2 linked regions of the Nothobranchius furzeri genome follow. The protein of the gene in region 1 purifies or fractionates together with the protein of each later gene. This does not show direct contact. Links are inferred from orthologs where the notes say so. Each region holds a gene or a part of one and is shown in the gene's direction. Other genes may lie near its edges. The genes, in order: inositol 1,4,5-trisphosphate-gated calcium channel ITPR1; erlin2.

Evidence for each region.
Region 2: the proteins of inositol 1,4,5-trisphosphate-gated calcium channel ITPR1 (region 1) and erlin2 purify together in Homo sapiens (affinity purification with western blotting, with the first as the bait; 4 studies listed by BioGRID). This does not show direct contact. The link is inferred for Nothobranchius furzeri from reciprocal best matches to the Homo sapiens genes ITPR1 and ERLIN2.

What each region holds. Positions count from the first base shown.
Region 1 is NC_091743.1:49,796,134-49,800,620, forward strand, and holds the start of inositol 1,4,5-trisphosphate-gated calcium channel ITPR1, read left to right. Parts: upstream 1-1,447; 5' UTR 1,448-1,636; intron 1,637-2,353; 5' UTR 2,354-2,376; coding exon 2,377-2,468; intron 2,469-4,487. Other genes in the region: sumf1 (formylglycine-generating enzyme), read right to left, coding at 77-250, 751-999. UniProt on the Homo sapiens protein: Inositol 1,4,5-trisphosphate-gated calcium channel that, upon inositol 1,4,5-trisphosphate binding, mediates calcium release from the endoplasmic reticulum (ER).
Region 2 is NC_091757.1:29,233,145-29,236,961, reverse strand, and holds part of erlin2 (erlin-2), read left to right. Parts: intron 1-962; coding exon 963-1,054; intron 1,055-1,155; coding exon 1,156-1,245; intron 1,246-3,491; coding exon 3,492-3,571; intron 3,572-3,641; coding exon 3,642-3,817. UniProt on the Homo sapiens protein: Component of the ERLIN1/ERLIN2 complex which mediates the endoplasmic reticulum-associated degradation (ERAD) of inositol 1,4,5-trisphosphate receptors (IP3Rs) such as ITPR1.

The sequences.
Region 1 (4,487 bases):
GAGGAAAAGTATGTTATTAGCAGAGATGATAAAAATATATCCAAAATAAGAACTTCCTGTTTAATAGACCTGCTACCTCTGTGACATATCCAGTGGCACCAACAAAGCTCTGGAACTGCTGGTTTGTTACTTCCTGGACATCCATGTAGAAGGGGTCAACGTGCACCGATCTCTGAGGCCCCTCGCCATCTGCAGGGATTCCTGGGTTGTCAGTTCCCATCAGAAACTCTCCTCCAGGTATCAACACCATCTGTAACCCAAAAATAAACCTACATTTCATTCAGACTGTGAAAATGATCCTAATCAAACATTTTTTTGTAACTAAAATCAGATCATTTCAATTGTGAAGAGGCACCACGGAGAATCCAGACCAGAACAAACATATTACTACGAAAAACTGGAAATCAGGTGAAATAAATATAACCCTGTTTTGAAAAGAAGTATAAAATGCTGCCTAAGATACTAGATGCAGTTCATTAAAAGTAATTAAAACAAAAGTTTTACTTGAAAATTGTGCGAATAAAAAGTTAAAGCTGATTACTTTGTCTGGTTATACAAAGACAGAAACTTTACTTACCTTCATAACTGCGACAAATCAAAACGGTTACAAAATGAGCTCTAAATGAACTGAATTATTGTAAAGCCATAAATTAGCTCTTACTAATGAGTAATATGCTTGGAAAGAAGGCAGTTTCACTCATCTGGTATTGTTAGGGTTCACGTTCTTCTTTAACAGGATCCACATCATACCTGACTTTGTACTTTATTCCCATCTTCACTGGCCCCGGATGTCCTCTCGTTCGCCTCTGCGGAGTATTTGTCGGCTGGGTCTTTGGTCGCTGTCCCGCTCTCATCAGCGGCTCTCTTCAGCTTTCCACAGCCGCATCCCCCTGCTCCCTCCACGGGGAGAGAGTCCTGCTCCCCCCGGCATGAACTCTGGAGACAAAATACTTCATTCACAAATACTAAAACTAAAAACAAAGGGTAATGCCGCACCATTCTTAACCCCCCACTTCTCAGGATTCACCCATGTTATTGTAAGACTTCCGCAAAGTCACGTGACTAGTCAGCTGGCTGAACGAGGTTAACGCTTTCTTGCCTGAGAAAAAAATACATTGTCGTTGTTTATCATTAAAAGTAAAAGTAATCGTTTGAAGGGCTTTGAAGTATATTGATAATTCTTTTTGAATCTAAATGACAAAAAAGACCAAAAATTGTATTTTACTTCACAAAATAAGTTTAAAAGTGTTTTCATTCGCATGGAAATAAAGCTTTTTCTTAAGTGTATATATTTGTATTCGTTTTCGAGGATTAAATAGACATAAAGAGAGTGATAACTCAGTACAGATTAAGTTTAGAACACACGGACAACATTTCCCAGCTACCAACGCGGCAGATACCACAGAAGAAGAAAAAAGAAGACGAGCTGGCCGCGAGCCAGGTAGCTCCACCAGCCAGTGCCTGCCTGCCCGCTTCAGTGAACGCATCCGCGGAAAGCTGTCAAAAACTGGATTATTTCAACCGTCGACAGCTAAATCTCACCCTCGACCCGGTGAGGAGACCACCACCACCGTCATGTTTTTTCCAAAGGTCCGGAGAAAGCCGAGTATTTGATCTGAGCGGTACAACAGCCGAGGTAAAGTTGATCCCGAACTCTGCCGCTGTCATCCTTTCTCTTTCTTCCGACTCTCTCATCTCCGAGAAAAAAAATATTTACATCTCCCTACATGGGTCTGAAGACGCTCACAGCTGAACACCAGGGCGTTTATAATGCTCTCGGGTAAGCCTTAAAGACGAGCAAGAACTTGGACAATGTGGTTCCGAATAACGGATTTAAAAAAGTGAAGTTTTAAGATGTTTGATGCTTCGGTAAACCGTCACGGCGCTCCTCGTGTTCTCATTGAAGCAGCTGCCAATTCTTTACCGAACTTTGAATTGTTATTATTAAAATTATTATTTTTTTTAATTTGGTAAAGTTTTAGATTCACCAGCAGTTTGTAAGAAGCTCGGGGCGATAGAGGTGAACAAAAGTGTAACTGTTGGCTCCAACAAGTCAGCTGCAGGGGTGATGAGCTGCTGCTGCAGGTGCAGGAACCTTCCTGGTAACAACATATCAGCAGAGCATTTCCATTCCCAGCCGCTTTTATGCAAATCCGCGCGTCCTGTCAGCGTCCGTCCAGCCTGTGAACTGTAAATGGGTCATAAACAAATGAACGACGAGGATTGGGTAACACAATGTGATGTTACAGTGTTTACTACAACATTTCTGCAACATTTTGAGTTATTTAGAACTGTGTAATTGTCTTATAAATCCAAAATGTGTCAAGTTTACCTTCTCTACTCCTGTGTGTAGGTGCTTCCTAGTTTGTGCCAAACATGTCGGATAAGATGTCCAGCTTCTTACACATCGGGGACATCTGCTCCTTGTATGCAGAGGGGTCCACCAGTGGCTTCATCAACACTTTGGGGTATGTTACACAGTCTGAATACATGCAGTGAGAAATGCATCTGATTAATTGGTGTGTGTGTGTGTGCGCGCGCGCGCGTGTGTGTGTGATGAAAGCGGCTGGTGCTTGACAGTTACAGAATAGTGTTATGCTGCAAAGATCATCAAACAGCTGGAACTGTATGGTTCATCCTGCAGAAAGCACTTTGGATTTTGAATTGGCTCGTAATCCTGGAGAAAATAAAACGAACGGGCAATAATTGCACAGTTAGGGGCTAAGACGTGGCTTGAGTGAGGTAAATTTGTGTGCAGTATTGAATTTACCAATTCCCAGCAGTACTGGGTTGTGTTTCCCATCCGATCCAGTTAGCATTCAAAACACTAAATATAAGCAAATATCTGCTGGTCGCTAAAGTCTGGATCTTATTAGGCTAAAGCTGTTGGATAGTTACACTCACTCACTGATTTTCTTAACAATCCGTAAGACAGGTCCATCATAGGGACACACAGAGACAAACCTCCATTGACACACACACACCAAGGGACAATCTAGGGTTCCCATTTAAGCAAACACACATCTATTTGGTATGTGGGAGGAAACAAGTCCCCAGAGAAAGCACACACATGCATCGGGGATAACTTGCTAACTCCTTTCAAAAGTGCTGCAGCCTGGATTTGAACCATGTTTCTGCAGGGCAACAGGGCTATCTGCAGCACCACCACAGTGACCTCCGACAAAGACACAAAAATGTGAAAAAATATGCACATTTTCTGTTGGAATCACACTGATTAGAATTATGACATGGTCTCTTGGAACATATCATGTTATTATGACGTTTTTTTTTTTTAACTTTTTAGTCATAAAATGTCTCCATAATGTTTCAGTTTGTTTACATTTGTTCTCATTTCATTCACAATTTTGCCTCCCCTCCTAAGCCGTCTCACTTTTCTCACACCTTCTGACGTGACTCACAGAAACTAGAGGTCAGTTTGATTGAGATGAACTGGAAGTGTTCATACGAATTCTATTGTTAGAGAAAATGAGCATTTTTTTTAAACATGTTTAAAATTCCTTGGACACAAGAGGAAAATGAGGTTTTGGAGACTCCCTCGTGAATCCTGCTCTCCATTTGTCTCCTACAGTCACCGCCCAGTCAGGTCTAAATTTGACAAACAGTAACAACGAGTAAATAAATCTAAGTTTTCAATTCTCTCAAAAGAGTTATTTTTTTTACAGTTTGCATCACAGTGTTTAAAATGTTCTTTTGATCTTGTCCTGCTGAATAATGTAACTGATCTTTGTAGTTTTTTTGCTTCTATTGTTCTTCCCACAATGCAACTCAAGCACATTTTGAAACAACCAAACAAAAATGCAGCGTTATTAAACGATACACAAGATTAACGGTTCCATCCTGTGACAAACAGGAAATATATTTTTATTTTATTTCCTTATTAATAAAAAGTTGGTTGCTTTGTGCTTGGGCTCATAGTCAGCAGCACACGCTCAACAAATCAGCTCTGGGATTTCATTAAACTTGGTGCCCCTCCCCCTCCTCCTGTGTTTTAGATGTAAACCAGCTCATAAGAAAGGAGTGTGAGATTGCCTTGGTGTAAACTGCAGAGTAATCATACCAGGTGAACTGTTCAGTTTGTCTGGTAACAGAATCAGGGCCCTCGTTTCAGCATCCTGGACCTCCCGCCTGCTGGCTCATAAAAACCGAAATGACCCCCACAAAACACTGAGTCATTATAAAGATATTGTGGCCTTTCTTCAGTCCAAACACTTCCCACGTAGTCATGAAAACACACACACACACACACACACACACACACACACACACACACACACACACACACACACACACACACACACACACACACACACACACACACACACACATATTTACAAAAATTGTCATGAGGATTCTGGCCAGAAGCCACCCACTCCTCACATAAAACCAACTCCGCTGCATTCTCCAGATTTTCTGATTCGAGGAAAGACGCGGTTCCGAGAGGAGAGAAACCCATAAGCATCAGAACT
Region 2 (3,817 bases), on another chromosome or scaffold:
GTAGGAGGAGGGAAAGAGGAGAGCAAACACTTCTGCTTGTTCTCTTCTGAACTTCCCTCCTCTGTATCATCTGACGCTCCCTTTTAACAGGGAGCCTCACTGACTGAAATCAATTCCACCTGGCTCAGCTAGAGCCAGGAGAGCAGGCAGGGACGCTGAGGGCACCTAGTGGCCACAAAACAGACGGCGTCTGTTACAGTCATCTTTGGTTTGTTCTCGTGAAAACACTCTGAAGTTCAGACTAGGGATCAACGTGATGGTCAGAGGTCTCCCTCACCATTTATTTCCTGGTCCTTCTAAAGGTAACACGATAATCTGGGTGATTTCCCATTGCTGCGGTTGTTGCCAGATAAAACTCATCAGAGGAAAGTCGTTGTTTGGTCAGTGGGATTTAGAATCTCATAAACAGGGATGTGGTCGGCCGTACACCATCCCAGTGGCTGATTATTAAAGACAACATTAATTAAACCTGTGTGTTGGTTTTCCAGCGGAAACGGTTGTTTTCCTGTTTTGGTCGAATACTAGAGAACAGCTACTGATGAGCTGGTGTTTCATAGACTAAGCCTGTTTATAAAGTTATGAAAGGTTTATCTACACGTGCAGATTTGCTGGGTTTGGTTTGACCTCACCCTGACGGTATCGTTGCTGAATCTACTCCCTGTAAAAAGTTATTTCAACAAAGATCAGATTCCACACACACATCTGAGGATTTACGCCCTGGCAGCTTTCAGGTCTGGATTAATTACTTACTTTCATACCAGCTGTGTGAATTTATAGGATCAGAGAGAGAGGAAGTCTTCTCAGTAGTTTCCCTTAGAATCAGAGTCCAATGGTAAAATCCCAGATTTTATATTAATATCTCCATGACGGTACAGGTCTCAGAGGCTGGAGCGCTAAGGCTTTGTAAATAATAATGGATCCAAACCTCCATGAATCATAACCTCTGCTATGTGTGTTGGCAGGGAGAGTGAGAAAACAAAGCTGCTGATCTCCCAGCAGACTCAGAAGGTTGTGGAGAAGGAAGCCGAGACGGAGAGGATCAAAGCTGTGATAGGTGAAGCACATAGACCATCAGGACCAGCTGACTGTGTCCTACACTCCTCAGGCTGAAGAGCGCGTGTGTGTGTGTGCGTGTGTGTGTTGTTTGTCTTGTAGAGGCTGAAAAAGTGGCTCAGGTAGCAGAAATCAAGTTTGGGCAGAAAGTCATGGAGAAGGAAACCGAAAAGAAGATCTCAGAGATTGAAGGTTTGTGTCGTTGATGGAGGAGACGTGACCGAGTTTTACTCCCCCACCCTACCCCGTCCTGCTGTAAAGCAATCTGAATTTATGTCTGAGCGCCAACAGAAGCCTTAGGGCTGGTTCATATCTCTCCATCAGAGTGTGTCGTTGTGCACACACCTTGACGGAGATGTTTTTCCTTAAGACCTCCCATCTCCTGGATAGTGTTGCAAAGCAATTCCCCACCAGGACAGCAGGGGGCGTAATACCTTTCTGGGGTATCTGGTCCAACATAGTGTGTTTACTGTTTTTGTATTTCAGACACTTTATAACACAGATGAATTTGTCCTACATTCTCTTCCACCTCTTCATGCAGTCGTCATCTCTGAGCCCACGTTTCTCGTCATTTCCGTCCACGAATAAAACGCTGGCTGAGTATCATTGTACTCCTTCAGTCACGGTTGAATTAACATTCTTATTTTCATTTTTTTTTCTGCAAGGTGTCGTTCAATTTTCTTCTTTTGCCACTATATATCTTAGGTTCTCGTTTTACTTTTTTGAGGGGGCAATGGTGCTGCTGGTGATAGTTTAAGGAAGCGGCGTCCTGACCAATCACCATCTCTGCCACTTTTGAAGGGTAGTTAAAAAGTTGGCGTGTCTCTCTCAACCACTGGGAGCCCATCGGAGAGCCCTTGCACCAACGCATAAAGGCCTTGTGTGTCTCCACACCCATGCAGACAGAGAGGTATAAATAAGGCTTTACTCTCACAGGCGGAGCGTTGGAGATTCAAAGTCGTGCGATACCCGATCCATGATTCTGCAACCATCTAGGAATTCACGGCTGATTTCTATCGGCTGAGGAGGCTACTACTGATGCAGCCGTATCTCTCACTTGTTGAACCGAATATCCGGTGGCATCGGTTTATCATTCACAACCCTAGTCTCCATCAGTCCGTGATTTCATATCGTCCTTTAGCTTCCTCAGATGATCGTAGGCTGTGCGGATTTCGACTCTGGTTTTATCTCTGCTTCACGCTCAAAGACATAATTCTCTGGCTCTTACTTCCTGGCGCCGCCATGATGCCAACAACAAAGAAAACGTTTTTTTCAGTTGCTCAGGAGGTTGAGCGGGTTGTCCAGTAATCAGAAGGTTGCAGGTCCGACCCCGGCTCTGATCAGAGAATATTGCTGTTGTGTCCTTGGGCAAGACATGTAACCCGCCTTGCCTGCTGGTGGTGGTCGGAGGGACTGGTGACCCCAGTGTTCGGCAGGCCTCGCCTCTGTCAGTGTGCCCCAGGGCAGCTGTGGCTGCATCGTAGCTCATCATCACCAGCGTGTGAATGGGTGAATGCAGGGCTGCCAACTGTCACACATTGAGCGTGAGAGTACGAGTGTCTGCCCTGAGTCTGGGGTTCAAATCCTGGTCAGGTCGTACCAAAGACTCTCCGCTTGACACTCGGCATTAATAGGTTGGATTGGGGGGTTAAACCAATAAATGGTTCCGAGCGCGGCCACAGCTGCAACTCACCATTTCCTCCCGGGGAGGGGTCAAATGCAGAAAGCAAATTTTGCACAACCATCAGGGTGTGTGACAACTAATGGGACTTCAACAATATCTCATGCAGAAGAATCAACAACCCCCCCCCCCCCCCCCCCCCCCGCTCTCATGGTACAGGGTGAAACATGGATAGTTCAATGCATCCTATTGTTTTTTATTGACAGTCGACAAACTGAAGAGGCTAACTGCTAGCCTTTGGTTAGCTACTGGCACGGAAACTAGCTAACAGCCCTTACGCAGGTAAAGAGCACACCCTAGGGCACCTACCTGCTCCACAAAACTGTCAAGTCCTGTTTTATTGTCAGCAGAGGGCTGTCAAATAAACACTGATCAAGTTTTCAACTCACTGATATCAACTTTAAAGCTCTAGCTTAAAGTAAAAAAAAAAACATTTAGCGTTACTTTAATGATCTCCGATAAGGTCTCTTAACGAGTCTCTGCTGACACTTCTTCTACATCCAGGTTTGTGTTGTTCTCAGACGTGGATGCTTTGTTTCCTGCTTCATGAGACTAACAGCTGATTTGGACCCTGTGAAGGAGCCTCACCGACGAGGTCCCCGGTGCCGTTATCAGCTCCACCCGTTTGTTCCACCCGGCTGTCCTCCACTTGTGGTTACCAAGGAGGCAGCAAACATACACACCTGACAGACTTGTGATGTGAAGGGGAGCTTCTGGCTGTGAAATGAAGCCACTGATGTTTGTTTGTGATCTACAGACGACGCGTTCCTGGCCCGACAGAAAGCTAAGGCAGATGCAGAGTTCTACACGTCTCAGAGAGCCGCCGAGGCCAACAAGGTAGAGGGCAACGCCTGCAGCTCCCTCTGGTGTCACAACCCTGTTTTATCATCTCTTCTTTCTCTTCCAGCTGAAATTAACTCCAGAGTACCTGCAGCTGATGAAGTACAAGGCCATTGCTGCTAACAGCAAGATCTATTTTGGGAATGACATTCCTCAAATGTTTGTGGACTCTGGCTCTGCAGGGAGCTCCATTAAGACTTCTGCAGCCCTAGATATTGTTGGTGAGCAGCTCCTAGACCTGGA